3 linked regions of the Drosophila melanogaster genome follow. The main gene of each other region encodes a partner of the protein of the gene in region 3 in a complex. Each region holds a gene or a part of one and is shown on either strand. Other genes may lie near its edges.

Evidence for each region.
Region 1: eIF3a (region 3) and eIF3g2 share a complex: the UniProt entries of both Drosophila melanogaster proteins name them as parts of the eukaryotic translation initiation factor 3 (eIF-3) complex.
Region 2: eIF3a (region 3) and eIF3g1 share a complex: the UniProt entries of both Drosophila melanogaster proteins name them as parts of the eukaryotic translation initiation factor 3 (eIF-3) complex.

What each region holds. Positions count from the first base shown.
Region 1 is NT_033777.3:20,401,986-20,411,909, reverse strand, and holds eIF3g2 (eukaryotic translation initiation factor 3 subunit g2), read right to left. Parts: upstream 3,646-9,924; 5' UTR 3,584-3,645; coding exon 2,762-3,583; 3' UTR 2,667-2,761; downstream 1-2,666. Other genes in the region: Tmlh (trimethyllysine hydroxylase), read left to right, coding at 4,087-4,276, 4,336-5,240; Gfrl (glial cell line-derived neurotrophic family receptor-like), read left to right, coding at 706-828, 8,516-8,686, 8,750-8,897. UniProt on the Drosophila melanogaster protein: RNA-binding component of the eukaryotic translation initiation factor 3 (eIF-3) complex, which is involved in protein synthesis of a specialized repertoire of mRNAs and, together with other initiation factors, stimulates binding of mRNA and methionyl-tRNAi to the 40S ribosome.
Region 2 is NC_004354.4:2,606,347-2,616,262, forward strand, and holds eIF3g1 (eukaryotic translation initiation factor 3 subunit g1), read right to left. Parts: upstream 3,991-9,916; 5' UTR 3,900-3,990; intron 3,837-3,899; coding exon 3,027-3,836; 3' UTR 2,901-3,026; downstream 1-2,900. Other genes in the region: Zw10 (Zeste-white 10), read left to right, coding at 1-183; Smyd3 (SET and MYND domain containing, class 3), read right to left, coding at 480-850, 916-1,378, 1,624-1,757, 1,825-2,066, 2,125-2,321. UniProt on the Drosophila melanogaster protein: RNA-binding component of the eukaryotic translation initiation factor 3 (eIF-3) complex, which is involved in protein synthesis of a specialized repertoire of mRNAs and, together with other initiation factors, stimulates binding of mRNA and methionyl-tRNAi to the 40S ribosome.
Region 3 is NT_033777.3:4,425,132-4,438,049, forward strand, and holds eIF3a (eukaryotic translation initiation factor 3 subunit a), read right to left. Parts: upstream 8,765-12,918; 5' UTR 8,617-8,764; coding exon 8,568-8,616; intron 8,471-8,567; coding exon 7,386-8,470; intron 7,336-7,385; coding exon 5,097-7,335; intron 5,038-5,096; coding exon 4,988-5,037; 3' UTR 4,667-4,987; downstream 1-4,666. Other genes in the region: srl (spargel), read right to left, coding at 1-633, 700-1,521, 1,592-1,697, 1,751-1,848; CG31525 (uncharacterized protein), read left to right, coding at 2,038-2,988; CG1074 (uncharacterized protein), read left to right, coding at 8,930-9,055, 9,524-10,319, 10,376-10,920; Lipt2 (Lipoyl(octanoyl) transferase 2), read right to left, coding at 11,272-11,976; CG14650 (uncharacterized protein), read left to right, coding at 12,497-12,918. UniProt on the Drosophila melanogaster protein: RNA-binding component of the eukaryotic translation initiation factor 3 (eIF-3) complex, which is involved in protein synthesis of a specialized repertoire of mRNAs and, together with other initiation factors, stimulates binding of mRNA and methionyl-tRNAi to the 40S ribosome.

The sequences.
Region 1 (9,924 bases), about 16 Mb from region 3:
ATTGTAAATGCTTTAAACAGTTCACCATGAATTAACATAATTAAAACTTCGGAATAAATATTTATGAGCAATTCGTAATTACGCGCATAAAGACAAATACGACGGAAACAAAATATTTGAGGGACTTTACACATTACATTTGCATACAATTGTGCGACATAAAAAAAATACGTATCGAAATCCTTCCTATAAAAAGATGGCGAAAAACAGAGTCCGGAGATTTAATTAAATTTGGCTTAATGTTGTCACCGCACGAGTCTTGCTGCCCCTTGTTGCGTGTTGCATGTTGCATTTTGCTGCTGCTGCTGCGGCTTTCAGTTGGAATTCGGTTATTAAACATTCTGCGGGACTCGTACGCCAACAATGTATCGGATTCAATTAGTATGGTGACCACAATGTCCCTCCGAAGAATAATGAGCAGAAATAAAGCCAACAAGCTTGGAGAACTTACTTGTTAATCAGATCGTTAAGAGTCATTCTCAGCTGATACGTGGGCCTAACCATATTAAGAAAGAGTTCTAAGTCCAACTTTGGGGATGTAATGCAGATTTCCATACTATCGTAGAAATATAAATGCGATATCATTTCTATGCGTAAAATCTATATTTAGTACTATTTTTGACAAAATTGGACAATATCTACCTTTTCTGAACATTAAATTTAATAGAAACTCTTTTTAATATGCTCCCTTTTTTCGAATTTCAGGTTCCACCATTAAGGGCGTCGTGGCCATTCTGAACTGTATCCTAGCACGTCAGCTATGCTTCGAGGATCCCTCATGTTCGGCCATTTTGGAAATAATACCTCGCGTCTGCGGACCCATTCCAGGTAAATAAACAAACAAGCCATAAAGTCATCCAGCCAAACATATTGAAATCAAATCGATAATTTTACCACGCCCTGATGAAATGTTTACACAAAATCTATGGGTTTTTGTGTCAAGTGTTTGCAGAGCTCTCGAGCTTTCACCTGCGGCGCTCAACGCTGATTATGCACAAGTTTTGGTCATTTGAGAATTAATTTCCGCTGCCAGTGCGAGTCGGTTGAATATATTATATTCTTTCATCGTTTTTATTTGCTTGGGGGCTTTGTTGTTGTGGCTGGTTCGACAACTGTGTAATTATTTCAGCCATTTTTGAGGGTTTCGTGAGCAGGCGCGCGTGCAATAAAACAGTAAATAACAGTCTACACTTAAAGCGCAACAGAGACCGCGAAGGAGATCGGCCACGAAACGCCAGCAAATGGCATATTTGAATATTCAAATGCCCCCGAGAGTTTCAACGCCGTCGAGTCGATGGCCTGTTTCTGCGGTACCCTGTACAATGGGGGAGATGGGGTGAACTGCACTGTAGTGCACAGGGCGTATGAAGAATATTTCAAAATACATAATGTGCTGTGTGCGTATACTTAATGGGATAGCTTTCTGGATTATTTAATTCTTATTCTAATTAAAATTATTTATGCTAAATTTTATACATTATTTAGCCTCTATTCAAATGTGTTTTGTTAGAAGTTACGACAGGTAAAACTTAAAAATTAAAAAGTTGAATAGGAACATGGATTCTTTTAAAAAAGTTTGTAAATATCCGTTATTGGAATGAGTTTGCTTACTTTAAATACCACTTTAACTCCAACTACTGGGTATTTCTTATTTAACATTTGACTTTTAATCTTCTGTTTGTTTTTCTCTGGAAGAGTGAGTGAGTGTGCGTGCGGTGAGCGCACATGACCTGAAGGTGCAAACTGAAAAAGAAATGCGTGGCCGAGGGCGTTCTCCTTACCAGGGCGCCTCATACCCCCAACTACCCCCCCCCCCCCCCACAATGCTAACTAACCTGTCAAGCCGCCCACCTGGCCACCCATTCATTCGCCTTCCACCTATTCATTCTGCCGCTCAAACAAAGGCCGGGGACGAACGAATGAGCGCGCCGCAGAAAAAGTTAATTTATAAATTATTCAGTAATTTGTTTTAGACTCTGCTTTAGCTGCTACCCATCCCATACCACCGCAACAGCAACAACAATGGAAATAAATTTCTTTTGTGCCTGGCTTTGATCCGCCCCTCATTCAAAATGTGTATCTAAGCCGGGACTTTCCCGCGAACACTATCCACCGACCACTCATTCCCGGTTCAACGTCATGGTCGCGTAGTTGGCGTCCCGTTCTGAGGGGCTCCGCTCCAAGTATCGTGCGCATAAGTCCGCTCTTATATTTAATTATTAATGTTCATTCGGTCCGGCCAGCGTCTTGTGGCATTTCTCAGCTCTTGCCGGGAACGCCGTGCCATCATCATCCGGCACCACGTTGGCTTCCATTTAAGTGGCTTTCACCTTTGTACGGCTGCGGAGCACGGCGAAAAAATCGCATTTAAAACGGAGCATTATCGGCTTTAGTTCGCTCAAGGCGAGCTTTCTCTTTTATGCACTTAAAAAAAGCATCCACCTTGGATGTCCAAGGGTATATCAACTCGAAAATTGAGTGGTCCCAAATGAACCAGACTGTTTTTAACAATTTTCATATCTATCTCAATTCATATCCTTTGCTCAACTGAAAGATGAAAAAATCTACTACGAAACATTAATAAATAGATTTTATATTATTATTAATATATTCTCTGTAATTATCGAATGTGTGCAAATTAAAAATAAAAGTGGTCGCATATTTTGCAGGGTGTACCAGAATTTTATTTTGATTTCACTGCCACCGCAGCTCATTTCCGTTCTCGAATAAGCAGAGAAGCGAATACACAAGGCTATAGCCATTACGGCTGAGGCTTGGACCACTCGACGCAGAGGATCAAGTGGTCGTAGCCGTGGCCATTAAGAACCTCAATGGCGGCAGCTGCATCCTGGCGGAACTTGAAGTGCACGTAGGCGAATCCCTTGCAGAGGCCGCTGTTTTTTTCGCGCGCCAAATACATCTTGGTGTGTGGTCCGATTTTCTTTACCAGCTCCTCGAGATCAGTCTCGGTCATGGATTCGGATAGGTTTGAGATGCGAACTGCCGACGAATCGTCCCGATCCCGACCCCGTCCCCAATTTTTGCTGCCAGATATGCCTCCGCCGTCCTTCATGAAGGGTGGTACATATTTTCCGGTCTTGCTGGGATCACTTATAGCGGCAGCTGCAGCGGCATTGGCCTTGGTTTCCATCACGGTTTTGCTATCCATCGAGGTGCCCTTGTAGGGACAATTGACACTCCAGTGTTCGCCATTGCAAATGCGGCACTTGGCGATGTTCTTGCCGGGATCAAGTTGGGTTTCGTGGGTCTGGTCGAAATCTTTGGAGCCGATGAATTGCATAAAGATCTCCTCGGAGGCCATTGTCGTCTGGGAATTGGGTCCGGGCTTGTCCGATCGCGAATCCCCAAACTTAACCCAGTTGCGACGACGAGCCACAGCCTTCGGAACAATCTGCTTCTCGATCTTGAAGGTTCGCACCACTTTCACCTTCTTGCCATCATCGTTGAACTTATACTCCGTCACGTACTTGAAGTCGCCCTTAATGTACTCATTAGAAGGCGGCAGTCCATCCACATAGTCCGCATCCACCTCATCGGCCCAGGAAGTAACGAAAGTCTTCATTTTTTATGATTTCCCACACAACCGGTACAAAATGAATTAAAAACTTAGAGATCTCTAGTTTTAGAGAGAGTTTTTCCATTTGAATTTTACTTGGCCTGTTGAGATGGGAAAAAATCCCTTTCAATAAAAGATATTTGAAATTAATATTTATATTTTCTTTAAAGTAATGATTTTTTAATAAAAAATACAACAACTTGAGTAGCAATTCACTAAGATAACTTTGCAACAAAAACATACCATTCAATCAATCTTGATTAAATTATAAATTTTTTTACTTTCATGAGTTGTTCTTAATAATTACATATTGTCTTTAAATTCAATAAATTTATTAATCTTATAGTTATTCCGTAAACAAATAAGTTCTTATCTCTGACTTGAGCATGAAAGTAATCGCTCTCCTACTGATAACAGTACAATTAAAACCGAGCTGAAACTTAATCAAACTTTGAGCTGTTAGTTCACTTTCACTGCTCTAGTCCGTCGGTTGTTCTATTGGCATTAACATGTTGCTTTTGAAGCACCCGAAAACCAGCCAATCAATAGAAATCAATGAGTTTTGGCTCCGTGATCATTGTCGATGTGTGGAGTGTCTAAATTTCGAAACAAATCAGAGGCGATACGATGTCTTAGATCTACCAGCTGATATAATGCCACTAGATGTCAAATACGACGGGATGAATCTACAAGTGCAGTGTAAGAAAAAATTGATGTAAAATGCACCTAGCTTCGATTTTATTGGCCTGCCATTTTAGGGAGTGATGCTCACAAGTCGAACTATGACCTGGACTTTATCTTCGACTCACAGCTGGAGAGGTTGATAGGTCGGCGATCAAAGTCCACTAATCTGACACCATGGAATCGTAGCATTATCTTGCAAAACGAACGGCACTTACGATTCCCATTGCCCCAGCTGGTTTCCAGTGATAACGAAGTCAGATCCCTGGTTGAATCTCTGGTGCGTTATGGCATTGTCTTTATCGATGATGTGGCTCCCACCGCGAATATGACAGAATTGGCTCTGCGACGAGTTTTCCCCCTTATGAAAACGTTCTTTGGCGAAATGTGGACTTTTAGCGATAACCCCGATCACGCGGACACCGCTTATACCAAACTTTACCTGGGTTCCCATACGGATAATACCTATTTCTGCGATGCAGCCGGACTACAGGCTCTACATTGCATTGAGCACTCGGGATCGGGTGGCGAAAATTTCTTTGTTGATGGTCTGCATGTGGTTCACGAACTGAAACGCCGGTATCCCGCCGCTTATGATGTACTGTGCAGTGTCCAAGTTCCTGGAGAGTACATCGAAAAAGGGGAGCACCACTACCACACTGCCCCCATTATACAGGTGGATCCACTGACTCAGGAATTTGTTCAACTCAGACTAAATGTATATGATCGCGCCGTGTTTAATACCATCCCTCAAGCCGAAATGGCCGAGTTCTATGACAGTCTTCGCCAGCTTTTGCTAATCGTCAGGGATAAGCAACAGCAGTGGGCTCTCAAGCTATGTCCCGGCAGCATTGTTCTTTTCGATAACTGGAGAGTGCTCCATGGTCGAGAGGCATACACAGGAAGTCGTACCATGTCCGGTTCCTATGTGCAGCGCACAGATTTTCTCAGCAAGGCTCGAGTGCTGGGAATTATTGACTGAAAGCTTATTGAAAAATACCTAATGTATACCGAATTAAAACCTTTTATGAACTAAGAAATTATGATTTATTTTCTATACTTTCTAGTGCTCCGCATATTCCTTCAGCAATCATTTATGTATTATATGGTCCGTACCGACTTTTATACTTTTTGCAATGGGAAAGTTTCATGCGGATAACTTTAACACTGAGAGATTATTTTGTGGATAGAAGAACATTTAACATTGATCAATAATATATATACTTTACATGTTCGTAGCTGACTCCTTCACTTCGATGCAAGATACTGGCTTAAATCAACATCCTTTCTGCATATATATAAGTTTGCTTTTGATTGCTCAAATAAGAACATATTTTAAATTCGGTTCATATATCAGGAATAGCATACATTGTTAAAGAATCGTTGCGTATAGAAAAAAACACGCAAATTGTTCAAGCATATTTTTCTTTTTTCTGAACCGAGTCCCACTCCAATTCAATTTCGATTGCAAATGCTAACGTATCATAATAAAAAGTTACGATTACAATTGCTGGCCAGCGTCTAATTTTTGTCATAGGGGAGTGGATCGCATACAGAAAACCAGCAACAAAAATCATTTGGCATTTGTTTTTATGGCCAGCGTCTCATGTGGGTTTTCTGTATTTGTGTGCGAGAGTGTGTGTTTGGCATAAACAAACGCACTTTGAACTTTTTCATTTAAAAGTGAAATTACTTTTTGTTGGCCGTGCAGGTTAATGGCTGTCGCGCTGCTGTCCTTTAAATGTCCTCCAAATATGGATGTGCCTTAAAGAGATCCGGCAAACGGTGAACGTACAGTGTCTGAATATTTATGATAATTGCATTTCATGCAGGTTTTCCCGCTCGCTTTTCCCGTTTTTCACCCAGCTCTCATATGCGCGGCCACGACCGGGAAAAGCCTTTAAAAGCAGCTTCGATGCCCCAGCTGGGCGATAAATATATTTTTGCTCGCTTTTCCTTCGGCGGAAGTTGCAGCGCAGCAGTCGTGCCTTTGCATGGCATACTTTTCGGCATTCCACTTCCGTTTTAAAACGCTGCACTCACTTTGAGCCACCGTGGCACTTGTCGATGGTTCAATAAAACCAACAAGCACCACGGACATGAGCATGGACACAAAGGACACACACATGTGTTCTCGGAACAGGAAACAGGACATTCCGGCCGAAATAGTTCAAACACAAAGTGCCTGCTTGACTCACTCGTAATTAATATGCTCGATCATAATTTATATGCCCTTCAATGGCTGCTAAACTTAATAAATGACTCATAAATTTCACCTACAGACGCCATAAAAAGCCGAAATATAATAAAAACAATGGCCAGACCAAGGCAGCAAGAACAAATATCAAACTAAAATCAAATAAAATACGGCAGGAAAAACTGGCGAGCATACACAGTCAGGTGCCAGCAACAAACAAACAAACAAAGAAATCATTGAACCAATTCAGCGACCAACTCAACAACCGGAAACGCGTTTCGAATAAAAACGAATTGAGGACTTAACAATAACAGTAAAAGGCAAGGGCAATGGCGGCGTCAGTTCAAAAAAAAAAGTTGAAAGAACACAACAGCAAATGGCGTCGCTTGATGGCGACGAAGCATAAAAACCACTCGCCTTGGCTTTATTTTTTATGGCCGCCCAGCATGCAATGACGAAACCAAAGCCAGGTACCACTAACCAAGGAAAACCGATGGCCAGGACCTGCGGCTCAAGCGAATGGCATCTAGTTAGCCGGCCACGCTTCAAATGCACTTACCACACGGAGAGAAAGAACGGAAATATAAAGTATATACATAATTTAAGAAAAAATTGTATCTGTTTATTTAGACAAATATGTCAGTCATGCTCGTCTTGTATCTGTACGTATAAAATATGTGCATGCATTTTTTTTTTTACATTCAAAGCAGCATTCTCCATTTCCTTGTCCATTGCGTAAACATGCTGCGCTTCCCTTTGATACGCAACGAACGAGTTTTAATTGACACCACAAGGGACCCCGAAAATCCCCAAATCCGAAAACCAGAAAGGACATCGACACGAAAAAAATGAAACGGTGCGAAAGCGAGGGGCATAAAAATGATGGATGCCTGAGAAAAATGTCACTTGTTGCGCAGTCGATGTCAGTGTTTCGATGTGTGCGTATGTGCTGGCCAACATCCAGCCCCAACGAACTTCCCTCTGCAGGAGCAACTTTATGTTCAACTAGCAAATAATCATGTCCGGTCTGCATGGGACAAGGGCGTTATTGGATAGGTCGTGGGGCAATCACAGGGGTCACCGAAAGGGGGCCTCAGTTTGGTTCGGTTCGGGTCAGTTGAGTGACGTGAACCACATGGCGTGGTGGCCACCACTGCCACCACTACCACCACTACTCGCTTCCCATTATGCCGGACGGACTCCCATTGTCCGGCAGTTTGCTTGTTTTGCTTTTTGGCGATTTTACGGCTTATGACGACAGGCCAAACGAGTCCCTTTCCCAGTTCCCAATGAGTGTGTGTGCGTCTCCGGCTCTGCTGGCCGTGTTTGTGAAGTGTTGGCGTAGCCGGGTTTATTAGTAGGGCTTATGTTTTATGGCCAAAAGGACAATAGATGGCCAACAGATGTTTGCCTTTTGTTTGACGCAGCAGTTGGAGCAGTAGTGGTTGTCATATGCTCGAATAAGCTGTCACAGACCCACACACCGTACAGTCTATGTGTTACACATAATTTATTATGTTATAAAATATTATCCCGTTCACGCTCCCTGCGCATCGCTTCATTGGGCGCTTAAATCGACCGTTTTGTTTGGAGACTCAATTATTCATATAGCAGTTGTTGTAACCTCTCTCGGCCCTTATTATGACATGTGTCTGGTTTGTAGTTGTCTCGCTGCCATTTATAACAACTGTCATGGCCCAAACCTGCACTGAAAAAAATAGCATTTAATTCGAAGAGAAAGCGTTGTAGTTCAGCTCCTCATCTATCCGATACCCGCTACTCAGAACCCTAACAACGTTACGATTAAACAACATATAAAAATAAATTAAATTATATTTTTATTTAATTTTGGGAACTTGTATTTCTGAAGTGTACCCATTCATATTGCTGGTAATCGATGTGCACAACCAAAAATGAACCAGCACGACATTTAATGTCAAAGTTTAAGCACTGCTGCCATTGATAGATCATTAAGCATATCCGCCCAATCCCGAAATGGATACAACTGCCACTCACTTGCGACACCATGTAGAACTGAATATCCTTTCTTCCATTTGCAGTGTCCTGCAGCACGGTGACGGTGACCAAGTGTCAGGCTGCCCTGCGCACCCTGCAGGCCTTCCAGTTCTTTCGGCCCACCTGCCTGTGCAAGGAGCCCGGAATGGATCCGGACTGCAATCACTTTCGGGACTTTCTCTTCGATCATCCATGCGGATTTGTGCTGAAGAAAGGTCTAAAGGAAATTTAGTTAGTATTGTAACTTTGTTAACCAACGTTTAACTTTTCATATGCAGCCGAAAAGGATCCGTACCCCATTGATGCCCTACCAACTTGCAACCATGCACTTTCCGTCTGCCAACAGGAACGCAAATGTCTAAAGCTCTTCGAGGACTTCAAAACGCATTGCAAAGTGCGCGACAACAAATGCAAAATGGAAAACAGGTATGCCATGTCTTAAAAATTTGTGATGCTTTTAAGAATGCTTGATTGGATTTTTATTAAATATATATATATGTATATGTGGAATCAGTGAGGTAAATTTGTATATATTCTGTTGATTAATCTTCATTAATGAAAATTCCCATGGTGATTCTTAAATAAAAAAATATTTTAAATAAACTATATCAAAGGAATTTTAAAATTCAACATGTTTTTATAATTAAATTATATTGCCCTTACCAAGTTTTTGCAAGGCATGTGTGTGGTAGAGTTTCGAAGAATAAAATGTTGAAAAACTCCTTATCGATCAGCCACATTGAAACATGAATATCGATAAAAAATTCATATCTATATGGTCAGCCATTTGCCGAACAAGGGAAAATTAGGTAGTGGCCCAATTTCAGAAGTAATCGTTAAAAATGTAACCAAAAGGCGCTCATATCAAATTGACAGCTTTATTTTATGGCAAGAGCCAGACCACTACTATTAAAATATAAGGCACATTATGAAAATGGAAAATCGAAGTCCACTACCAACAGCCAATTCTGATAATGAAAATTAAATTAAAACGTGTTTGACTTAATAAGAAAATTGATTTGCCTCGTGCCGCAACGTGATTGTGCCGCTTAATGGTTAACGGCAAATGCAATTTGCATTGGCAGTTGGCAAAAAGTAGAGAAGATTGAGTGTAGCCACGTGTTCTCCCGTTCGGGCTTAAAAAGTGGAAGAACCACCAGCCACCTTGCAACATTCAATACTTGCGCTTATTGGCAAAAAACACAACGCACACAGCACTGAAAGCAAAAAGCAGACAGCAGCGTAAACAGGAGTCAAGTTGAGCGAACAGAAGGCGAAATGAAACTTCCTGCTTGCCGGCATCTAGCTGCTTCCTTTAGCCATCACATATCCTTACTGACGCGATTTCCTCCTTGCCAGGACTCGGCTGGCTCCTTGCCTCGATGGCTCGATGGCTCGATGGCTCGTTGCCTCGATACACTTGAATACAAACGTTCTGAATGTTTTAATAACT
Region 2 (9,916 bases), on a different chromosome or scaffold from region 3:
TGGCTTAAGCTGCAGCAACTGAAGGCCATGCTGAACGCGTCGCTCATGGAGATCACAGAGCTGTGGGGCGACGGCGTCGGCCCGCTGACCGCCAGCTACAAGTCGGATGAGATAAAGCACCTAATCAGGGCGTTGTTCCAGGATACGGATTGGCGGGCCAAGGCCATTACGCAGATTGTATAGGGCGCGTGCGCCTTTTTTGCGAGCGAGGAATGTTGAACGGCGGATAGACATCACATTTGAGGTGGTAAACGGAGTCTAAATTTGATGATCACCATCAATGTGTCCTTACTTTAATTCCTTGAATTGTTTACCACAAATGCCAAAAGTAATAGAATTTGATAATCTTTAATTCTCCGAATGGTTTCTGTTGTACATAGAAAAGTAATTATCCACAAAAATCCATTCCATTCTTCCCGCAACGCAACACAATATTTAACTTAAGACTTATTTAAATGAATAAAAACAACTAAATCCCATTAGTGCGCCTCTTGTCGCGCTTGTAGAACGAGCATGTATAGCTGCTCAGTAAGCAGTCTGTGATCTCGGCCGTGGGTGACGGTTAGGATGCGTTGGGCCTCCTCCAGATGGTGCAGTGCCTCCTTGGAATGGCCCTCGTAGAGCTGAATCTTGCCCAGCTTCATGTGAAGCAGGCCCAATAGCGGATTCCAGGGTCCGTGGTATTTTCGAAAGCCTGGCAGCAAACGTTGCCCGTAATCCAGGGCGTCGCTCCACTTGCCCACTTCGATGGCTGCTTCGAAGGCCGCATCGAGCGTCTTGACGTACCACACATTCAGGGGATGGAACACGCCAGTCTGCTTGTCCAGACACACCTTGCACACATCGAGATCTGTGATCGAGAGAGTGAAAATGTGCTTATTATGGAGCTAATTCCATTTCGTCGCATCTACTCACAGGCCACGTCCTTCATGTTCTCCAGATTGTGCCGGGTCAGAGTCATCGCCTCGTTGAAGGCATTTCTCAACTTGGGACTGATGCCGGCATCGCATCGCGGGCAATTATTGCGGTCCACACTGATTCCCGCACCGCAGTTGCGATTGGGACACAGGGCAGCCAGCATCTCCTTCGATTCCTTGGCATCCGTGCACTTGCTGCACACGCATAGGAAGTAGTAGTGCTCCTTGAGGTCCAGACGCCTCTGCTCCGGCGTATTGAGCAGGTCGATGTAGCTGATGAAGATTTTCGACCAGTCCAGGCATTCCATGTCCTCGATCGCGTGGACGTGCAGCTCGTTGCCCTCGAAGGTGGCGACCGCATTTGGCTGGCAGCTATGGTCCGTAATCGAGACGCCCAGATATATGGCCGTGGCAATTGAGTTCATCTCGGCGTCCAAGATATTGAAGCCATTGGTGATCAGCTGCAAAGAGCAGAGAAGAAAGAGCATGAGCTCCCGCGTAACTGTGCGCCGGGGAATGTGAACCGAAGCCCTTCCTAGATAATCAATTGACTGGCAGAGCGCCAGGCATACATCATTGATTGCTATCTAATTTGGGCGACCAGGAGCGGCTGCATACGCAAGCGTCTTGGTTTCTCGATTCAGTACCAGTGCGATGAATCGCCCAATCCGCTCCTGCTCGCTCGCACAGGTGCCTGCACACTTACGCGACCATAGATGCTCATCAGTTCCGTCTTGTTTGGCACCGTGCTGGGACTCTCGGCCATCATATCGGTGAGGACGGCATGCAGCGAGTCCAAGTGCTCCAGTCGCATGGGATCGTTCTTGATTTCGGCGTAATCTGTGCACGTTAACGTGGATTAGCTAGGAATGACCATGCAAAGCGGTTCGCCCTTTGGTTTACTCACGGGACATGAGATCGCGAAACTTGCGGGAGCCGTGCTCGGTGTAATAGCCGCGGATCAGGTCTCCGCCGTGCTCCAGGCGCAGGATCAGTCGGCAGAGCATTCGGGCAGCATCGGGCACAACTCGAGGATGCACCTTCTTGAGGAAAGGACACTCGTGCTTGTGCTGGCCCCAAGCTTGCATCTGGCATGAGCGGTGGCAGTAGGACACATACCTGCAGTTGGAGCACTTCAGCACCTTGGTCCTGCAACGACGAACCCAAATTAGATAGCTCACAAAGGCAGCCACATGGCGAAACTTACGCCTCCAGGCAGTTATCGCACCGCTCCAGGCGGTACTGTGATTTCAAGACGAAGGCGAATGGTTTCTCCGTGAGGATCCGCTGTCCCCTTTTTATTTGCGGCGCCGGATTCTTTAGGTTCTTGGATTTGGATGAGCATGCGGATGCGGTTGCGGATGTGGTTGCGGATCTGGATGAACCAACGGTGGCGGTGGCCATTTCGCTCGAACGGAGCAACAACAAAGACTTTCGCCTGGGGGCCCGTCTCACTGACGACTGAAAATGAGCGCACACCTGAAGATCAAAAATATTGTTTCGAATGCTTTTTGAATATTTTGCGGCATCTGATTTCTATTTTTGGCCACAAAAACAAACACAATTTACGCAAATCGCTGGCAAACACAAAAACAACAACACCATGGTGTTTATTCGCATGCAAACGATGGCGTTGCCAGATCGGCTGGAATCATGCTTTCTACAGTGGGCACCGCGTAAGGTTAACTTGTTAACCATATGTGGGTAGCTGCATGTCGTTAAAAAATACACTTAACAAATCATATTCAAGTTTTTTAAGTAACAAATAAAAAATATTTCTTTTATATGTTGTTCCCAGTGTCTACGATTTGGTGGCCTTGCGTCCTTTAAAACGAGGGAGAAAGCTATATTAGAGCAAAAGTCGAAAGCATTTGTGTTGGTTGGTCCGCAAAACTAAAGAAGAGCGATTAAGTTATATCAAATATGAAAAATATACGATTCTAGATGCCATTGTATCCTTGCAGAGCATAGTCATCTGGTTTTCGGTGCCCATGGGGGCTGTTTTAAGATTTATTTGTAGCAAACTTAGCATAGCATAGGGACAAATTGTGTGATCGACTCGAACGGACTCCTATGAGCAGTAAACGCGGGTAGTGGGAACGGGACTAACTAATTGTTCTGGGGTTTCGACCATTCGACGCTGAGGATCAAGTGGTCGTAGCCGTGTCCATTGAGGATCTCGATGGCGGCGGCCGCATCCTTGCGCTGCTTGAAGTGCACGTAGGCGAATCCCTTGCAGAGTCCGGTGTTCTTGTCGCGGGCGAGATACATCTTGCTCTGCGGTCCAATCTTCTTCACCAGCTCCTCGAGATCCGCCTCGGTCATCGACTCCGACAGATTCGATATCCTAATGGCGGCCGTGTCGTCGCGTCCGCGCATTCCCAGCGCGCCCTTTTGGCTGTCCTTGAGGAACGGCGGCACATACTTGCCGGACTTGGGCGCATCGACGGCGGCCGCGGCGGCTGCCGAAGCCTTCTTCTCCATCATATTCGTGTCCATCGCCGTGCCCTTGTACGGGCAGTTGACCGACCAATGCTCACCGTTGCAGATACGGCACTTGGCAATATTCTTGGTGGGATCTAGCAGCGGATCGTTGGCCTTCTCGTCCTCCTTGGAGTTGAGGAACTGCATGATGATCTCCTCGGACACCATGGTCGTCTGCGAGTTGGGGCCGGGCTTGTCGTTCTTCGAGTCGCCGAACTTCGTCCAGGTGCGTCGCTTGGCCACCGTCTTGGGCACCACCTGCTTGGATATCTTGTACGTGCGCACCACCTTCGTCTTCTTGTCGTCCTTGTTGTACTTGTACTCCGTCACGTACTTCTGTCCGTTCTCCACCGTCTCCGTCGTCGGAGGTAGTCCACCATAGTCGAGCTCCACCTCGTCCGCCCAGGAGGATTTGATCGTTTCAACGCCCGGCATCTGAAAGGAATTGAGGGCGCAGTGAGTGGGGCTACACTGGGCGCTTGCTTGGGGTGCACTCACTCTGATTTTCAACGCGATTTGTATGCGAAATCGTAAATGCAAATTTCGCCACGAGTTAAGCGGATTTTTAATCAGCAACAAAAGAGTGTTACCCTGCCGCGGTCACAAAAATATGCCGTGTGTGTCCAAAAAATATACCGCTAATACCACTTTGCACTTTTTGGAATATACCATTTGAAATTTCGTTACATATAAGTTAATAAGTTATCGATTTGATTTTGAAGATCGCAAGCGACCGTTTATTGCAATTTATCATTTGAAACTAAATCTAGCGTACAAAATGTTTCCCTAAGTCCCTAGCAATCAAGTGAAGTCGTCGGCAGCGGCGCAGCAGGCGTCGGCCGCGGCGCAGCGCAGAAGTGTCGATGTCGCGCTTAACCGTTCGTTGGCGTTGATGGCAGCGGAGACTATGTGGAACCACAAGATGTTAGAGAATCAATTGCAGGGCAATAACTCCTCCCCTCTTAATTGACGCTTGTCCTCGAGCGGTCATCATAAGGATGGGATGTTTTTGAGTCGCATCGTTGGTGGGGTGATTCGTGGTAGTTTGGGCACAGCATTAATGGTTTGAATGCCAGGTGTTTATTGTTGCGTGCGTTCGAGGTTTGTGCAACTCGGATGTGTTCTGCATTGACAACTTGATTGCTTCTATTAAAATTCTGGTTTTTACTAAATTACTAATGAATTTATATCTACATATTTTTAGACCATTGGAACCTTTGCAGAAGGCATTGATTCCGTACATTTCGTCTTTAATTGGTAAATTTTATTATTATTCAAATTAAATTATTATTTATTTATTATTATTAGTTTCCTTTACTGATCATGTTTTAAAATATAAGAAATAAGGAATTAACTGATTCAATATGGAGATTTCAATGGCATTCAAATTGTAGTTCCGTTGTGTAAAGCGAGAACGTGTGAAAGTTTTAACATTTATTTGACCGTCAAGGCAGAAATCGGTATATTGTTTTCAAGTAGGCTACTGGTCTCATTCAATTTAAACTCGCTCCGCAGAAACGCATTCACAACGCAATCTCTTCTTTCACGAGCCCAATCTAATTCTGCAAACCTATGGCCAACTCGTCTGTCAAAGTCGAATCGTTTCAAATTTAATTCTCGTGGTTACGTTAATCAGTATGTTTAATGTTTCTATGTTCTACTTGTCTATCGATGTGGCCACAGTAATTATTCTGAAGCAATCATGATCTTATGTTACTTTTATGTACTAATTTCCCTGATTCTGTTAATATTGTGGTACTTCGGTCTTCCTTAACTAGTTCCTTCCTAAATCTACTTGATAACTTAGAACCTAATCTTGTATTAACCCTAACGAAAATTTCTTGCCCTTTGATATAGGTTTTTATGGGCTTTCTTGTCCGGTTGTGGTATTCTATGTCGGTTTCCTGTTTTTGCCTAAGTCGGTCTATATTGTCCAGTCTAGCTTGTTCATATTTTTCTGGAGCTACGGTAGCTATCCTGCCGAAGAACACCTCTAGAGGTCGTTTTTTTGTGACAGAATGGACAGTGTAGTTATATTCATAGATGGCCCTATCGAGAAGTTCCTCGAAGCCCCTATGTGTTCCATCTCCTTTCAAACATCTCATTATTTCAGAGAGTGTGGAGTGAAATCTTTCTATCTGTCCATTTACTGTACTCTTATACGGAGGTGCTTTGTAGAGCTCAATACCCAGCTGGTCTGTCAACATGAATTTGATAGAGGCTGAGTTGAGGGACTTTTCATTGTCCATTACTATTAATTTAGGCACTCCATAATAAAACACGATATCTCTTAGGGCTTTCCTAATGTCTTCTACAGCTTTGGATTTGATAACTCTTCCCATGGCCAGTTTGGAAAATTTATCAATCGCCGTGAGCACCAGATGTCGTTCTGTCGAGTAGATGTCAATATGAATAATTTGTCCGGGGTATTCTGGCAAGGGAGTTTGTCTTATTTCTGGATGCGTGGGATGTCTGTCATATTTAGCAGTCTTACACACCAAACACTGATTCACGATAGCCGAAACTTTTTTCCTCATTTTAGGAAAGTATACTCTTTCGGACAACTGAGCTTTATTTTCCACAGCATTTCTGTGTGCTCTGTTATGTGTCCTAAGTATTTCTTCCTCTTGTTCGGCTTCGTTAACAAGGTCTTTGACTTTGCTTTGGCAGAATCTAATCTTGAAACCCTGAAAATGGATGGGGTAGAGAATTTGAATTTTCCCCATTACATCCTCGGATGTGAAAATTCCATTAATCACGGATGGGTTAAGATATTCTTTCAAATCTGACAAGAGACTATCGGGTGTGAACAAGTTGCGATCTACTAAATGCCTTTGAAATGTCGGGAATGGAATGCTAAATGAGTAGTTCTCTGACTCGGACTCCCTGAAGAAAATTTGATTCTTGAATGCGTTTATCGGGGCTTCAACGCTAGGTATCAGCCCATGGCTCGAACTGTCAGAGCTGTGCATTGTTGAGGCTACTGTGTTAATTTGTTCGACTGTCGGTCCTCTGGACAGAGCGTCGGCTACAGTATTTTCTCTGCCTGGCTTGTAGAAAATTTCGTAGTCATATTCCTCAAGGTATGCTTTCCATCTCTTAATCCTCGCATTTCCATTCCAACTACTGAGAGAATGGGTCAAAGGCTGATGGTCAGTAAAGATTTTCACCTTTGCTTTACCGTAAAGGTAAATTTTTAGCTTTTTTAGAGCCCAGATAATGGCTAACATTTCCTTCTCATTCGTGGCATAATTTTCTTCCGCCTTCGAGAGTGTTCTCGATAAAAATGAGATGGGTCTGTTCTCTTGTGAAAGAACAGCACCTACTGCGAAATTGGAAGCATCCGTTGTTAGGTGAAATTCTTTCTTAAAGTCCGGGTAGTGGAGTATTACGTCTGGAGAAACCAAGCTGCTCTTCAATTTCTTGAAGGCTTCTATTGCTTCGCGATTAAGGGAGACGGATTTTTTTGACGATAATGTCCTGGAAATTCGACCATCCTCCCCTCTCAAAAGCGAGCTAAGTGGTTTTGCTAACTTAGCGTAGTTAGGAATAAATCGCCTGTAATATCCGGATAATCCCAAGAATGATCTCAGTTCTTTGAGTGTCCTTGGAATTGGAAAGTCTGAGATTGCCTGTACCTTGGTTGGGCTGGTTTCAATGCCCTTGTCGGACACGACGAAGCCTAGGAACTCCACTTTTCTCTTCATGAACTCGCATTTATCCAACTGACATTTCATGTTGGCTTGCTGAAGAGTTCTGAAAATAGTGTCAAGGTTCTGGTAATGTGTTTCATCATCTTTACTAAAGATGATGATGTCGTCAATATAAATGAAACATATCTTACCGATATGTTCGTGAAGAATATCGTCCAGTGCGCGCTGGAAAATTGACGGTGCATTTTTCAGACCGAATGGGAGTCGTGTAAACTCATATTTTCCATTATTGATGGAGAAGGCGGTCTTTTCGATATCAGATTCCTTTAAAAGAATCTGATGAAACCCACTTTTCAGATCGAGCACTGAGAAAATCTTGTTGTCTCCCAATTGGGCCAACACTTCATTAATGTCAGGGATAGGGTATCTGTCCGCTACCGTTACCATGTTAAGTTTTCGATAGTCAATTACCACCCTGTATTTTTTCTTGCCAGAGGAGTCGAGTTTTTTTGGTACAATCCACACTGGTGAATTGTAAGGTGACCTTGAGGGTCGAATGATTCCATCGTGTAAAAGTTCGGAAATTTGTTTGTGTACCTCGTCTTTAAGAGACATTGGGTACTGATAGAATTTTGAGTATATTGGCGTATCCGATATAGTTCGGATTGCTGCCCTTACACTTGTTGTGTAGGTTAGTTTTTGATTCGGGTCTGCGAAGAGACCTGGATACGAATCAATTATTTTATTCAATATCATTCTCTGTTCCACCTCTAAGTGTTTTATTCTCGGACTAATTGTGCTAACAGCCTCGAACTGTTTTTCTTTGAGAACAACTCTTTTCCCGTTTTCCAGTGTCATGGTTAGGTTCTTCAAATCAATTTGCGCTCCCATTCCCTTCATTGTGTCTTTGCCAAGTATGGCGTCAAAAGTCTTCAGCGTTGGTAACAAAAAAAATTTTATTTCGAAATCGAAAAGGCTTGCTCTTTTGTAATGCGATATTTTTACATCACCGCCTGGAGTATCAGCTATGTAAGGCTTGTTATTTGGTATCGCGTTCGTCACCAAATTGGGCTGGATGTAATTTTTATTAGAGCCTGTGTCAATCAACACCCTTAAAACCTTTCCACTCCCCACTCTACATTCGAAGTATGGTAGTGAGGAGTCTTCTACTCTAAAAAATGCAACACGTGGTCTCGTTGTTCGCTGTCCAAATTGTCTATTTGTCCATCACAGTATTCATTTAGTGTGCCGTTTATATTGTTCTGGGTTTCATAATCTTGCATCGACCGTTGATAGCCTGTCATGCTTGAACTGGACCCAGTTACTTCAATACTTGGCTGTCTCATGTTCACTGTTTGGATGTTGTAGTTCTTTTGTCGTTTGTTTATGTCCGAGTGTGGTCTATTCATATAATTAATGTTTCGCGTCTGTACACTGCCGTCCACGTCCATTGGTTCTGGTCTTGGTTGTGGTTTGGTCGCAAAGGGACGGGGTGGGGCATTGTATTGTTGCCATTGCTGTTGATAGTTTTGTCGGGGTGGAATGAACGGTGCATTACCGAAGTTAGACACGTGTTGCCTTGGCGCCGGGAATGGCTGGCCTAAATATTGTGGAGGTCTCCTCATGGGATGTCGTGGAGGGACCGGTGGAGGCTGTCGATGGCCAAAGGCATTCGACGGCTGAAAATTGCGGGGTGCCGGAATGGGTTTTTCGTTTCCTCTGAAACTCGACTGTTGACCCTTATTCGCCGCATGGTTTGACCTGAAAGTTTGATTTTCAAGTTTAAGGCAATAATGTAAAGCTGAGGGGAGATCAGCTGGCTCTTTTATTGCCAAAAGGCGAGGTAAATCTCCTCGAAGGCCTCTGATAAAAGTATCCAGAGCTTTTTCTCTGTACATTTTTGTAACAAAGTGCTCGGATTCTCGGCTCATTTGCATGCAGCCGACTTTATTTAGAATAAGCGACAGATTTTTGTAGACGTCTTGGTGGAAGTCTTCCACCGACTGCTGGTGGCCTTGAACCAAAGTTGACATTTGGTATTCCAAGGTAGTTATGTCCCGTTTATCTGCGTAATGCAGAGTGAGACATCTCGACATGGCCTTCCAGTCCAGCGGAATGCTGTAGGACTCGAGTGCCACATCAGCACTTCCAACAATTTTATTTCTTATGGTATGAAGTATACCATAATATTTTGGAGTACCCACAAATGGGGTATAAGTCTCCATGATTCTATCAACGCTCTTTTTCCAAGACCCGAATTCTGCTGGATTTCCAGAGAATTCCCTGATCGATTTTACGATATCAGGCACCCTGTCAAAGTCCGCTAAATTATTTCTGTATTCGGGCTCGACGACCTGGTCGCTCACGTCAGTAAAGTCAAGAGTATTGTTGTTCATTTGTTTTATCAATCCAGGTAAAACTTGGGCCACCGTTTGGCCAATTAATGCTGTCAACTGTTCGACACTCATGTCTACGCGATGCTGTTCAGGCAGGTCGTGTCTTTCTGAGGGCACCGGTCTTTCGTTTGAACTAAAAGCTGATGGTCTTATTATATTATTAGGATTTGCCATACTGATTTTTAATTCGGACAACACCTGCACAAAACAAGCCTAAACCAATTTGAACTTAACAAAAGTTGTGGGCAGAAAATATGGAATGCGTGTGTATGTGTTTGCTTATTTATCTTTTGTTTTTGTTTTTTTTATTTTTTATTTTTATATTTTTTTTTTTTATTTTTGCATGCAATAAATTTTAGCTCACCGCGGTTATTTTGCTTTGAGAACAGTGTACCAGAAAGGAACAGTAAATAGGAAAATTTTCCTTTCAGAAGATCTCTAGGAACTGGGTTGAAAATATAGTATT
Region 3 (12,918 bases):
GGCACGTTTCATCTCTAGCATACGCAGCACCTTGTTCTTGGCCATGGTAATGGGATCCATGGGCAAAGAAGATTGTTCTGTGCGAGGACATTTAAGGCTGTTTACAATATTGACTATTTCCGCTTTTTTTGGTGAAGGTGTTGGTTTTGAAACCGGGGTAGGAGCAATGCGTTTGGCGGCAACCTCTATTTTCGCCTGCTTGGGCGGAGTTGGTTTAGGATACACAGCCCCCACACCGCCACAACGACGCTGTTTATATTCCTCTAGATTTAGCTTTCGCTTTGCTGGCGGTGTCAAAGTCGGGGTTGTTGTCGAAAGGGTTGGAGGTGCTATAGGTTTTGCAGCACACACCGATAATGCGGCGTCCCTCTCCTGCTTCAGAAGCGAAAGGTTTTTTCCACCCAATCCGAGACCCGTGCATTGAGTATTTTTTACTGACGGCTGCTTGTTGCTCATAGACTCAGTCGCTTTTTTTGTTGTCGCCTTAGTTAGCTTGGACAAGGAGGGACTACCAACCTTACGTTTAAGAAAATCGCACTGTTTTTTATTAGGCACCAGGCAAATATTCTTATGCTTCGGTTTGTTTGATGCTGGGACCGCGAGCTGATGGTTCCCCAGTTGTTCCGGCTTATTCTGTTTTGAGTATGACAGTTACTGTTATAAAGAATTTCTTAACTAGTATGTCGTCATAGGACTTACCTCTTTGATAGTAGGTGTGGTCTTTTTTGCGGATCTCGGACTCCAAGAGGGATCGGCCTTTACATTGTCCACATAGCGTAATTCATCGGGAGTTTGGCCCATTTTTGCCGGCTTATCTATTGACCAGATATTGGCCATATTCATATCGAGTACATCGACAGTTTCAACGTCGATAATCGAGTCAGAGTCATAATCAGAATCGCCAGGTTTAGAGGATGGGACCCCGGGTTTTGCCACAATTGTGGCAACCGGTGGATTAAGAAGTATGGGAACATCTGCTAAAGTATTAGATTTAATTTGCGCCTGTGCTTGCAGAGATTCCTTTTTGCGACAGGCGTTTAAATTCTCAGCAAAATCGTCTTTGGTAATAAAATCAGCTAGGTCAAAGTTATTAACATCAATACTTAGCCCCAATGCGTCTACTTCGGAGATAATAGTGTTAGTACTGAGCGTCCGTCCCTTGCGCTCACAGGAGCTCTGCAAGTTGCCGATATTGTTATGGACAACCTGCAGCCTTGGACTTTTTTCTTCGTTGACAATGTCAAATTCATCATCATAGTCGCTAGAGTGCGATTCATAGTCACCAATCGAAGAGCTGTCTGTGCGGGTGCGAAATGTGGACTGGCTTTGTATGTCCTCCTCCTCCGTAAGGCCGTCGATTTTAATATCTTCTTTGTCGTACTCCACAATGGCGCTGATCTGGCGCTGCTGCTCATAGGCAATCTCGCCCCCGCTGTCGGCGATGGACCGATAGACCTGGGCATTTAGCTCATTGGCATCATGGTTGCTGAGCTCCTGTTTCAGAAAGTCGTTGTAAATCAGCTATTTAAAGAGTTAATCGAATTAATACTGAAATGTGATTCGCTCGTATGCCCCTCGAGCCAAAACCTACCAGATTCTTTCTGTTTTGCAGATCTTCCTCCCGGTTATGGTTGAGCAGTGATTCGTCTGTGGGCGCGATGGGTAGGATGCCGCTCAGTGTATCTGTCAGTTGCAGTCTGAAAGGGTTTGCATTAGTTTTTAGTACATTTTTCTGATGACAATCACTCACTCATCATTAGATGACCAGAATATCGGCTCAGACTCGTATTTGGTATAATTTGCCTCAAAGGTATCTCCTTGGAACACATTTAGCATTCGTGAATCCATTTTGCGTCAAAAGTTAAGTAACTGTAAACAAATAAACTCGGATTAAATAGGGAACTCCTAAAAACGAAACCAATCATAGTTGCCTTTTCGATATCAATCCACAATCGTCATATGATTGTAACATATTGAAAAATCAAGTTTACAAAATCACTTCCCGTTAACCAAATAATAATAAAAAAAAAAAACGAAATGCCAAAAAAAGTGATCACAAGGCGTCAACGCAAAGCTGCAGAGTCCCGGCTAAGGGCCACAAAGGAAGCAAGTCAGAAGAATTGGCCCAGGATAATAGAAGTTATACCGATTCCCCCAATCTCTCGTTCGACTAATTCAACTAGCTCAAAGGAAACATACTCAAAGAAAAAAGATATAGGTATGTCCCAGACGACTTTAGATGGAAAGAATGAGAAGGAAAAAACTCCGTCTTTGGAACAGTCAATCCACGAATCCGAAAAGAAAATTCAGCTGTGTGATGCTCTGCAAAAAATTCGATTAACTAGTCACAAGAAAACCTTCTTGTCGGAAATAAAAAAGAAGGCTTTTGACGCGGAACAATTCCAAAATACCACTTCATCCGGATATGATAAGGACAATAAATTTATTGCACTGGTTCCAAGGAACACCAATAAAGGGGCCAATAAAACTCCAAACTCCAGCGTGCCATTGATGTCCAAATTTTGCGAACAAATTAAGTCGCACTTCCACTCTGTCCTGCCGACACGAAACCTACTCTGTTCAAAATCCCCAATTCCGATGGAAAAGGAACCTGATCACGGTGCAGATTTGCTGTTGCCACGACCAGTTTTCAATAACCTGGAGAATGAAGTTAAAGTCAAATGCTTCAAGCCTTCTGAGCTAGCTAGAAATCCCAAACCGCCTATTAGGATTTTTGGCATAACAGGCTTCTTTGTCCTAACTGGTACCAATGCTCAGTTGTCTTTTCACATCGGCCAACTTGCGATCAGAGGCGTTAGTGTCCAATCATGTATACATCTGCAAACCGAAATGATGGATAAGGTGGAGGAACAACTCGCTAAGCTGACTATGGACCGCAAAAGAATCCTCAACAAAATGCATAACAAGCATGCAACACTTGCACAACGTCGAGCTCCGCCAGAGACACATCATCAGGGTAAAAATTAAACATAGGCATTGACATTAAAATTAAATTACAATGTAAATAAATACCGAAACCGGAATAAAAATGTAGCTTTAGAAAGCCTTAACACGTGTCATAAATGACTTAACTTAATCATTTAAACAAGATTTCTCTAAAACTATGTCATGAATTGCACAATTTAACTTCATGTTTTGCATTACAAAGATTTTTTCTTTGGGCTGGGAAAGGTTGTCGATATATTCAAAATTATGTTTATATTTTCCTGATAGTTGTTGCTTAAAACTATTATAGTTTAGTTGAATAGTTTTAAATTTAAGTTCCATCTACAATATATTGATGTAAATACTGTGGCCGCAATATTGAAAGCCTGCACGAAAGGTGTTTTTTGACACTAGATACCAAGATTTCCTAAATGGTAAAATTAACATTTCGAAAATTGAAGCAGTCACATACCCTCTACTATACGATTGACGGGTGTAAATGATTTTAATCAATCTTCAGCGCCTCTGCATCACCTACACATGGACCTGGAACACAAAACACAATAGTTTTAGCCAACGACAACAATAACAAACATGCCCACACAACGACGATGGCGGAAAGAAGAAGCAGCAGTAGCAGCAACAGCACATGTTTGCCCCAACCACGTGTATGTGTATGTGAGCCACGATGGGCGCGTGTGCGTGTAAATGCCGCCACGCCATGTGCTTTTGATACTGCACTCCTTGGCGAAAAGCAATCGAGTTGAATGAATACGTTTCGCAGGTCTTGCCTATCACCTTGGCACTTTGGTTTCGAAAGCCTTTCTCCCCAAAGCTCAGCGGATTCGCTATCGCATTCGCGATGTCCAATCTGTGGCACGCGCCTAGCAATATTACCTTCTGAGCTTCCGTTGTGGTTCCGGATCACCTATTTCACTCGAAAAAGGGCTTCCCCAGCCGAACGCTTGTTCGTTCGGATTTTTGCCGCCGTCTGCTTTAACCTCACATGTTGAGCGCCGCGTCTGCAGCACTAACACAAGCACACAAGTCCGGTGCCCAAAAGGGCTTTTTCTTGCGGCAGTCAAACTGCGTCTTTCTGTTCCGCCCGAAGATCACGATCACCCGCGGTTTAAGATGGGCCAACGTCACTGCACTCCAAAGCAACCCGCAATCACTTTATCTCATGAGTACCGTATAGCACATTGTCCAAAATTTGTTCACGTGGACCGAGATTCGCGGCAGCGGCACAGACAGTGTGACCAGGGGCGCGCACCGCGGAGGATCCGCGAGGCCATGGCATTAGTGCCAAGTTCGCAAGAAAATACTAGTTGAGTGTGCGAAGAAGGCGCGGGCTCATATTATCGAGGCAAATTTTCAGAGGCAGAATATTTTTGTTTTGCTTGCTATAAAAGCTTTTCTAAATTTACTCGAATTTATTCCCAACGAATATGGTTTTACCTAAGAAAGATGTCACTTTTTTAAAATAAGTCAAGCGTATGTGATAATACAATTTACAATACTTTTGAATGCATTTTTTATTTATGGGCAATTAAAAAACCTAATGTTAAAAAGCCACGCTTCCAAGAACGAACTTTGTAAAACTATAGAAGAACCCGCATTTGTTTAGTTTGCAAACTACATTTTAATGTAGTTTTAGCTCTGTCGAAATATAAATTTAAAGGGACTGGTTTATAAATCACTGTACGTATAAGGGAAGCTTGGTTCATCCTGAAATCTGATAAATAAGAATTAGAATTTTTGAATTAAACCAATAATAACCACTTTTCATTTCTTTGATTCCCAAGGTTCTCATTCGACAATTTCACTTTTCAATTTTTTAGAACATAGTTATTTTATTCGAAAGTACTTTAATTAGTATCGGTCCTACAACCATCTCAATTTTAACTATCTGGCACAAGCTTTGGATAGATAGATATAATATACCGGCCGACTGAGCTCTACACCAATAAAGTACAAGTCGGATGAAATAAAAACTTATTAAGAATATTATGCTGGGTATATACGATGATGAAAATAAAAATTAACGACGCTTAACGCTGGTCCACTCGCCATCATCGCCAGCTTTGTTCTCTGAAAGATGTAACGCATTGATAAGAATGGAAATTAGGTTTGCTGCTGAGATTACTTACCCTTTTCCTGGGCTTGATCGCGCTTAGCTGCTGGTTTTTCCTCACGGGTCGCAGGAGCAGTACGCCAGTTTCCGCCTACTCCGCCACTGGCTGCCTCCTTAGGAGCAGAGCCGCGTTGATCGCCACGAGTCTCGCGCACATCTCGGTCGCGCCTCTCAGCTGGGCGACGGGTTTCCCGATCAGCGTGGCGTGGAGCGTCGCGCCAGTTCCCTCCAGTTTCCCGCTGAGGCTCGTCGGTACGACGCGCCCCGTCGGCGCGGCGGAATCCACCGCGCTCATCGTCACGATCCCGGCGAGGACCATCGTCACGGTCACGCCGAGGCCCATCATCCCTGTCGCGACGAGCCCCATCAATGCGGAAATCGCGGTCACGTTCTCCGCCACGCCGCCACTTGTCATCGCGCGATTGCGGAGCGCCACTGTCTTTGGGAGCAGCTGCACGCTGTGAATCTGGCTCTCGTCGCACACGCCAAGAGGAGTCCGCTCCCTCGTTGTCCTTGCGGTCACGGTCACCGCCTCGTTCAATGCGCTCTCCACCACGCTCGAGGCGTTCTCCACCGCGCTCGATCCGTTCTCCTCCGCGCTCGATACGCTCGCCACCACGGTCGTTGCGTTCACTGGCCGCAGGTGCAGCACGACGCCACTCGCTGGATCCGCCGTTAGATGCGCTTGGACGGTCACCGCCTCGAGGACGCCATGTGTCACGGTCCTTTTCAGTGCGTTCGCGCTCCGAGGCCAACTCCCTGGACAGGCGGTCTCGATCTTCCTTGATTTTACGCTCAGCTTCCTCCTCCTTGGCACGCTGCTTTTCGTATTGGGCACGACGCTTTTCGTCCTCAGCCTCACGCTCCAAACGGCGGGCTTCTGCTGCGGCGCGCTCTTCGGCAGCCTGTGCCAAGCGAATCTCTTCCTCCTTGCGAAGACGCTCCTCCTCTTTCTCGCGAAGGAAGGCCTGTCGGCGCTCCTCGCGGCGTCGAATAATGCGGTCGGCTAAGCGCTTTTTGCGCTCTGCCTCCAGAGCAGCCTCAAACTTTTTGAGCTTTTCGACGTAGAGGGAGGCACGTTCTTTTTTAAGGGCCTCAAGGAATTCATCCCGGTCCGGATACATGCGCTTGAGACGCTCCTGCTGGGCGACGGCATCCTTCCGTTCGGCAATGGCATTCTCGATGCGTGTCTTCTCGGTTGCTTCCCAGAACTCCTTGTCCTTAACCTGCTTTTCGGCCAAGTATTTTTCGAAAAGCGGTATCTCCTCCAGGCGCTTGGCGCGTTCGAAGTAGTCGATTTTCTTCTCTTGCGATTTGAGTTTCGACTGCAGTTCCTTGGCCTCGCGCTGAAGTTCCTCGCTTTCCCGCTTGGCGATCTGCTCGGCGTCCAACTTCTTAATGCCTTCCTCATCCAGCTTGGAAAGCATCTTCTTACCATGAGCCGTCTGCGAGATTTGCTGAACCTTCTCCTTGAGACTCTTCTCCCGGATGGCTTGGATTTCGTTCTGATGGCGCTTGCGCTCTCTTTCTTCTTGCTCCTGCTCGAGGCGCTTCTGTTCGGCCAGTTTGGCCTTCCGCGATTCCTCCTCCTGACGCCGCGCCTCTTCCTCTTCACGAGCATTATTCTGCTTCTCGATGTACTCCTTTCTGTCCTCGATGATCTTCTGTCGCTGAAGAATACGCTGGTGCTCGCGATCCTTGATCTCATGGTAATGGTTTACCATCTGGTTGCGGAGCTTGGCCCGCTGGTCACGTTCACGGTTCGGGTAGACGATTGAAACTGCCCGTGTCAGAACAGTAGACATATTAACCAACTGAGAGCGGATCTGTTCCGAGGGCATCGATTGCAAAGCGGGTCCGTCGGGGCGGTACTCGCGTTGACTCTCGGTCAGATCAGTGCCGAAATAGATACTGTTCTTCTGGTGGTCAATACGAATCTGCATGTCATTGTGACGCACGGACTCGACCAGCAGTTTTTCCAATTCAAAAATGTTGCAAAAACTGGCCAGCTGCAAGAGACGCTGGAACTTAATACTCTCATAAACCTGAGAGATCTGACGAATCAGACGCATTATAGTCACGTCCTTCAGCGATTGAATGTAAGGAGTGAGCAGAGCGTTTTCGGGCCCGTTCTCAATGAAGTCCACGATAGACTGAATGCGCTTGCACAGATTCAGTGGGTTGAAATCCACCTCCAACCAGTTGTATAGATTGCGAAAGTCCTCAGATACGAGTTGAGGAACATTCAAGCGCACCTGTGTTTATGAATTAGTCATAAGTCATTACTATATTGCGTGATACTTACCACTTCACGAATAAGGGAGACGCGAGTAGGTGGCTGGGGCAGGCCCAAAAGCACGGCCAACTTCTGCGCCTTCTCCAGGGGGCTCTTGTCCGCCTCAATAAACCTGTCGAACTCTGGATGGGCCGAAGGCAACGGAATAGAAAGAGTGGCCAGGAGAACGTGGGCAGCCATACGCTGCAAGTCGTCCTTCGTCAGGTTCTTCTTCAGCTCGCGCGTCAGCTGGAAGAGCTTCAGCAGCGCTGCAGCGTGGAACAACTGGTTGCCGGCCTTGCTAAAGACCATGGCTAATTTTTGGTAGTAGTTGGCCATGGTTTTGGGCACGGGTGTCTTCTTGGACAGAGCCATCAGGCCATGGATATCCTCGATTGCCTTGTAGGCCTCTTGCCACAGCTCCATCTGGATGGCCGAGTCAAGAAGGTACAACCTGGTGTCCAAGCAGAGCTGCTGCGTTTCCACCTTGTTGATCGAGACACCGGTGGTCTGGTTGCTGCTCTTGCAAATGTCCTCCAAGTGTTTGCGCAGCTTGTCGCACAAGCGGCGAAACTCGCTCTTGCGGTTGTACTTAAGGCAGAACTGGAAGGCCATGCGAGCGATATCGTGGTACAGCGCCTCGCAATGCGTGTTTACGCGCAGCAGCTCTAGACACTGGCAGTAGGACTCCCACAGGAACTTGACCCACGGGAGCAGAATAGTGCGGTCGGAGCGGTCCTGTGCGTCCTCGCCACACACTGCGCTCATTAGGATGCTCTCTGGCGTGGCAATGTTGTCCAGGTCATCCAGCTCCAGAACAGCAACGGCCGCCGAGGACTGGGCTTGGGCAGCCTCTGTGTGCTCTTCGGCCATTTTCAGGTAGCCGCGGATTACATTTTCCAGAGAGTTCACGTTCACCAGCTGGAACATGTTCCGGTACTGGAATAGTCCCTCCTTGGCGATGTGCGACTTCTTGAGTTCCACGCAGAGGTACAGGTACTTGAACATGAGCGGTTCGATGACCGTCTCCGAGTAGGCATAGTTCCATCGCTTGTTCCGGAAAACTTCCTGCAGCGTGTCCAGCGCCCTAAGCGGCTTTCCCACTTCAATGAACTCTGTGACGAAGAGAGCGGCGTCGAGTTAAGAGAGCACACGATTCGCGAAGACGAAAGTTTCTCTTCAGACACCGCATGGAAAATTTTCAGCACTCACCATTAGCCCTTTTTAGGGCGTTTTCCGGACGTTGCGTATAGCGGGCCATTTCCGATCGCTTTACTTACTTGCGGCGGCACTTCAAGTTGATTTTGATAGCAGGTCTGGAGCGTTTTGAGACCTGGGGCTGCTGAAAATTGTATAAATCTTCGGCTCGCCTACGTGTGGCTGCAATATTAATGCAAAATGGCCGAGTCGACGGCACGCAGGGCTACACCTGGCTGCGTTATCGATAGTTCAGGCCGATAGTTGCCGATGGTCAGCTAATCGCAGTGCAACTCCGCTAGCTCACAGCAATAACACGAGGAGTAATGAAGTCGCTCTAGAATATAAATAAACAATTCATTAATTAAAATAGCGACATGGTCAACTGGAGGAAGTTTATCTTGTGGTTCGCCCAGGAGCATGTCGACTTTCGCGTGCAGGAGTTTGATTCGCTGGTCAAAATGTTTGGACTTCAGGTCCGGCGGCTTACAGAACACACCAGGGTAAAGTGTTTTAGTACCAGAATTTTGAAAACGCAAGATTAACAAATTCCACCTCCCCTATAACTTTTAAAACCTGTGGTTTAATGTTATATCCAAACTTGGAATTTTATTAATATGTTTAATATTTTTAACGTAAAAAAATTTTATATGTATTTGTAAGAGGAAGAAAATAGTAAACTATATTTTCAAAAGTGTTTTCAACAGGTAGAAATTTAGCATTACTAGCTATAAATTATATACGATCGTTGAGATCTCAGGAACTACAAAACCTAAAAGGTTTCGAAAGGATACCTGATACCTGGTATACATACATTACGAATACGATCCGCGTACCTGTTAGATGTTTTTAGTGTAGGATACTTTGATTACATTATTTTTAGAGCTTGCGACACATATATAAATACTTCTGTAGTATAGAAGCATCAGCATATATAGTTATATTTATATTTTTTAATTTCGGTATTACAGAAACCATTTTGGTTGGTCGAATTTCGGGACACGGATACTGCGTTGCTATATGCATCCAGGTCCGTTTCGTTGCGCGCCATGTTCGAGCTCTACGCCCACTCCAACAAATTACCCGAGTTTCACCAGAGGCTACGGAATCATGTTACCGCGAACTGGCATTCGCTTGCGGAATACTTTCGGGTGGATGCCAGTTTTAAGATCGTTGTGGAGACCTACAACAAGCACTTCAGCCAGAGGGAAAAGGTTGAGAAAATCGAGTCCATGGATTACCTGCCAATAGAGGGAACGGTCAATCTGGAGAAACCCGTGGTGGAGTGGTGGTACATCGAGTTTTGGGGCTTGGATCCAACGGCTGTGCCACCTGAGCCGGAGGACATTCTGTTTGGTCGGCTGATGGCCCATGGTCAGCGGCATTTGATCAAGGAGCTTTCGCTGAAGCATCGTAAGTTTATCGGTAACACCAGCATGGACGCCCAGCTGAGCCTGCTAATGGCCAACCAAGCGATGGTACGCAATGGGGATCTGGTATTTGATCCGTTTGTGGGAACGGGCTCGCTTTTGGTAAGCGCCGCCAAGTGGGGCGGGTATGTCCTGGGAGCGGACATAGACTACATGATGGTGCACGCCCGCTGCCGGCCGAGCCGGATAACCCAAAAAGTGCGGGAGAAGGACGAGAGCATTCGGGCCAACTTGAAGCAGTACGGCTGCGCTGATCGCTACATGGATGTGGTGGTGGCCGATTTCTCCAACCCGGTGTGGCATTCCCGCATCTCGTTCGACTGCATAATAACAGATCGTAGGTTTATTCTTTTTTATACCAAACTTAAAATGTTCATTCTTTGGTAATTTAAGCTCCCTATGGAATAAGAGAGGCCACGGAAAAGGTGGAGAAAAAGGCTAGCGTAAAGGCCAACACTAGAAGTGACAGCATGGTGCATTACCCATCAACGTCGCACTATTCCTTGCAGAGTCTCTATGGGGATCTTCTCGAGTTCTCTGCGAGGCACCTAAAACTGGGAGGACGTCTTGTCTGCTGGATACCCTTTCACAGCGAGGACTACGACCCGAAGATGCTGCCACAGCATCAGCATCTGAGCCTGATAGCTAACTCTGAGCAGCAATTGACTGGGAATACAGCTAGGCGGCTACTCACCTATGAAAAGTGTTTCGAGTATAGTCCAACAGAACCCTTATTGTGCAGCATAAAACAGGTGCCAACGCCCTCGCAGGACTTCAGGGATCGGTACTTTAATAATGCTCTGGAGTCACGCAAAGAGCGTCGAATGCGGAAGGCAGAGCTGCGGGAACAGGCTCGTGTGGAGATGAATGCACGGGGAAAGATTCCTACGGATGGGCGCTCCAAAAAGTGTGACCTGAATAAAGCTCGATTTATGTGATCTCCATTGAAGTGTAATTTATAGTAAGATATAACTTCGATTCGGGCCAAATTTTTTGTTGGCTGTGTGTCGCTGAGTTTTCTTGTATGGCATACATTTCGAAGATTTTGATTCAGATTTGGACAAAAAAAAAAATAGATAAATACGATTGACAATGAGTCTATATATGTATATAGTTATAATGTTATTTTAATATTTTATGAAATACATAAATCTAGTTTACAAATTTCCATTTCGTAAAAGTTGAGATAACAGAAGGCCAGGAAATATGTATTGATGCATAATTTAAATTATAAATGTTGAAATAAACTTGGCGGTCCTTTATACATCATATGTATCCAAATAACCATATTATCCGATTTCAGCAGAACTTGCTGGTTTTTTGGCGTGTTCCTGAAGGCGGCATTCGAAAACTTTAGCGAAACTATTGAGGAGTGCGCCACTGGCCTCCTCGACAGGAAAATGTCTGTCCAGCTCTTTGCTGAGCGAGGTGACCCCCTTGCCTTCGATTCCGCAGGGCACAATGTGCTCAAACCACTGCAGATCCGTGCAGCAATTGAGGCCGATTCCATGCGTGGTGACGTAACGCGAGCCGTGGATACCGATGGCACAGATCTTGTTGTCACCCACCCAGATACCGGTGTCCTTGGTCGCCTTGGCACTGGAAATGCCCATCTGGTGGCAGGCCTCGACAACCATCCGCTCCAACGTCGCCACGTACCAGCGGATGCTCGGCACGAACTGACCCAGGTGCAGAATGGGATAGGCCACCAACTGGCCGGGGCCGTGAAATGTGATCAAGCCACCGCGATCTGTGCGATGGAAGTCTGCTCCTAGCCGGCGGAGTCGGTCTTCATCCTGCGCCGTATAGTCCTTTGTCCTTAGTCCGACTGTGTAGACCGGGTCGTGCTCCTGAAGCACCAGGTAGTTTCGGAACTCCGCTGGCGGATTCAGGATCTGGTTGGACCTTGCAAGACGTTGCTGTAGCTGTAATCCTGCTGAATAGCTATGCCGCCCGGCCCGCACCACGGTCACCAGCGGTCGGACAAAAGGCATTTTTTTAATTGTTTAAAAATCATTTGACTGCAACGTTTAAAACAACAAATATTAACCAGGGCTGCACGATCAGCGGGTTCATCAATATATGTATCTTCAAAAACGGCTGATTGGTGGCAATGGAAAAGTTGGCGAAATTTGTTTTTTTATTTGAGGAAACTTCGATTAATAATCCAACAGTTTAACAACAATTCGGAAAATACGTTGGAGGGAAATCTTTCGATAGGTTACTACCAGGGTTGGTCGAGGGCAGTTAGGAAAATGGAATTCCACCCATCTGGCAACACTACATTTGACGTTTGCAATAAAAAGATATAAAACTCTTACACACGGACGCTCTGCGAATTATTTAGAGTTTGGAGTGAAAAAGTGGGCTAGGGCCACAGAAAACCAACTACCTGTCACCTGCGATTGCAGCACATCCGTGACAGACTCGCTGCGGTGAATACATGGAGCACGCTTGAAATTCCAATAGGCGAGCGGAGCTGGTGCGCAAAAAGCATAGGCCCCATCGCAGGACATGGCGACTCGTCAGGACGACGAGATTGGAGGGGGCAGCACTGAGTCTGCACCCTTTCGCGTCCTGCCCCACACTGACGAAGTGGGCAACTACCTGGCCCACCAACAGCAGCAACAGCAACAGCAGCAGCATCAACATCAAACCCAAAACTATCTGATCCACCAGCAGCAGCATGGACAAGCACCTGTCCCGCTGATGTGGCCACCTCCACCACCGCACCTAGCCGGCCCCCCATTTGCGCCCCATCTTCAGCAGCAGCAGCCCCACATGTACAATGAGTATCTCTTCAATCTGTCCTACTCCGGTCAGCCAGGCCAGCCAGAGACCTACTCCGTGCTGCCTGTGGGACCCGGCAACTTTCTCAAAGTGTACCACTGCCCGGACAACCAGGTCAGCGAAGCCGGCACCCCACTCTTCACGCA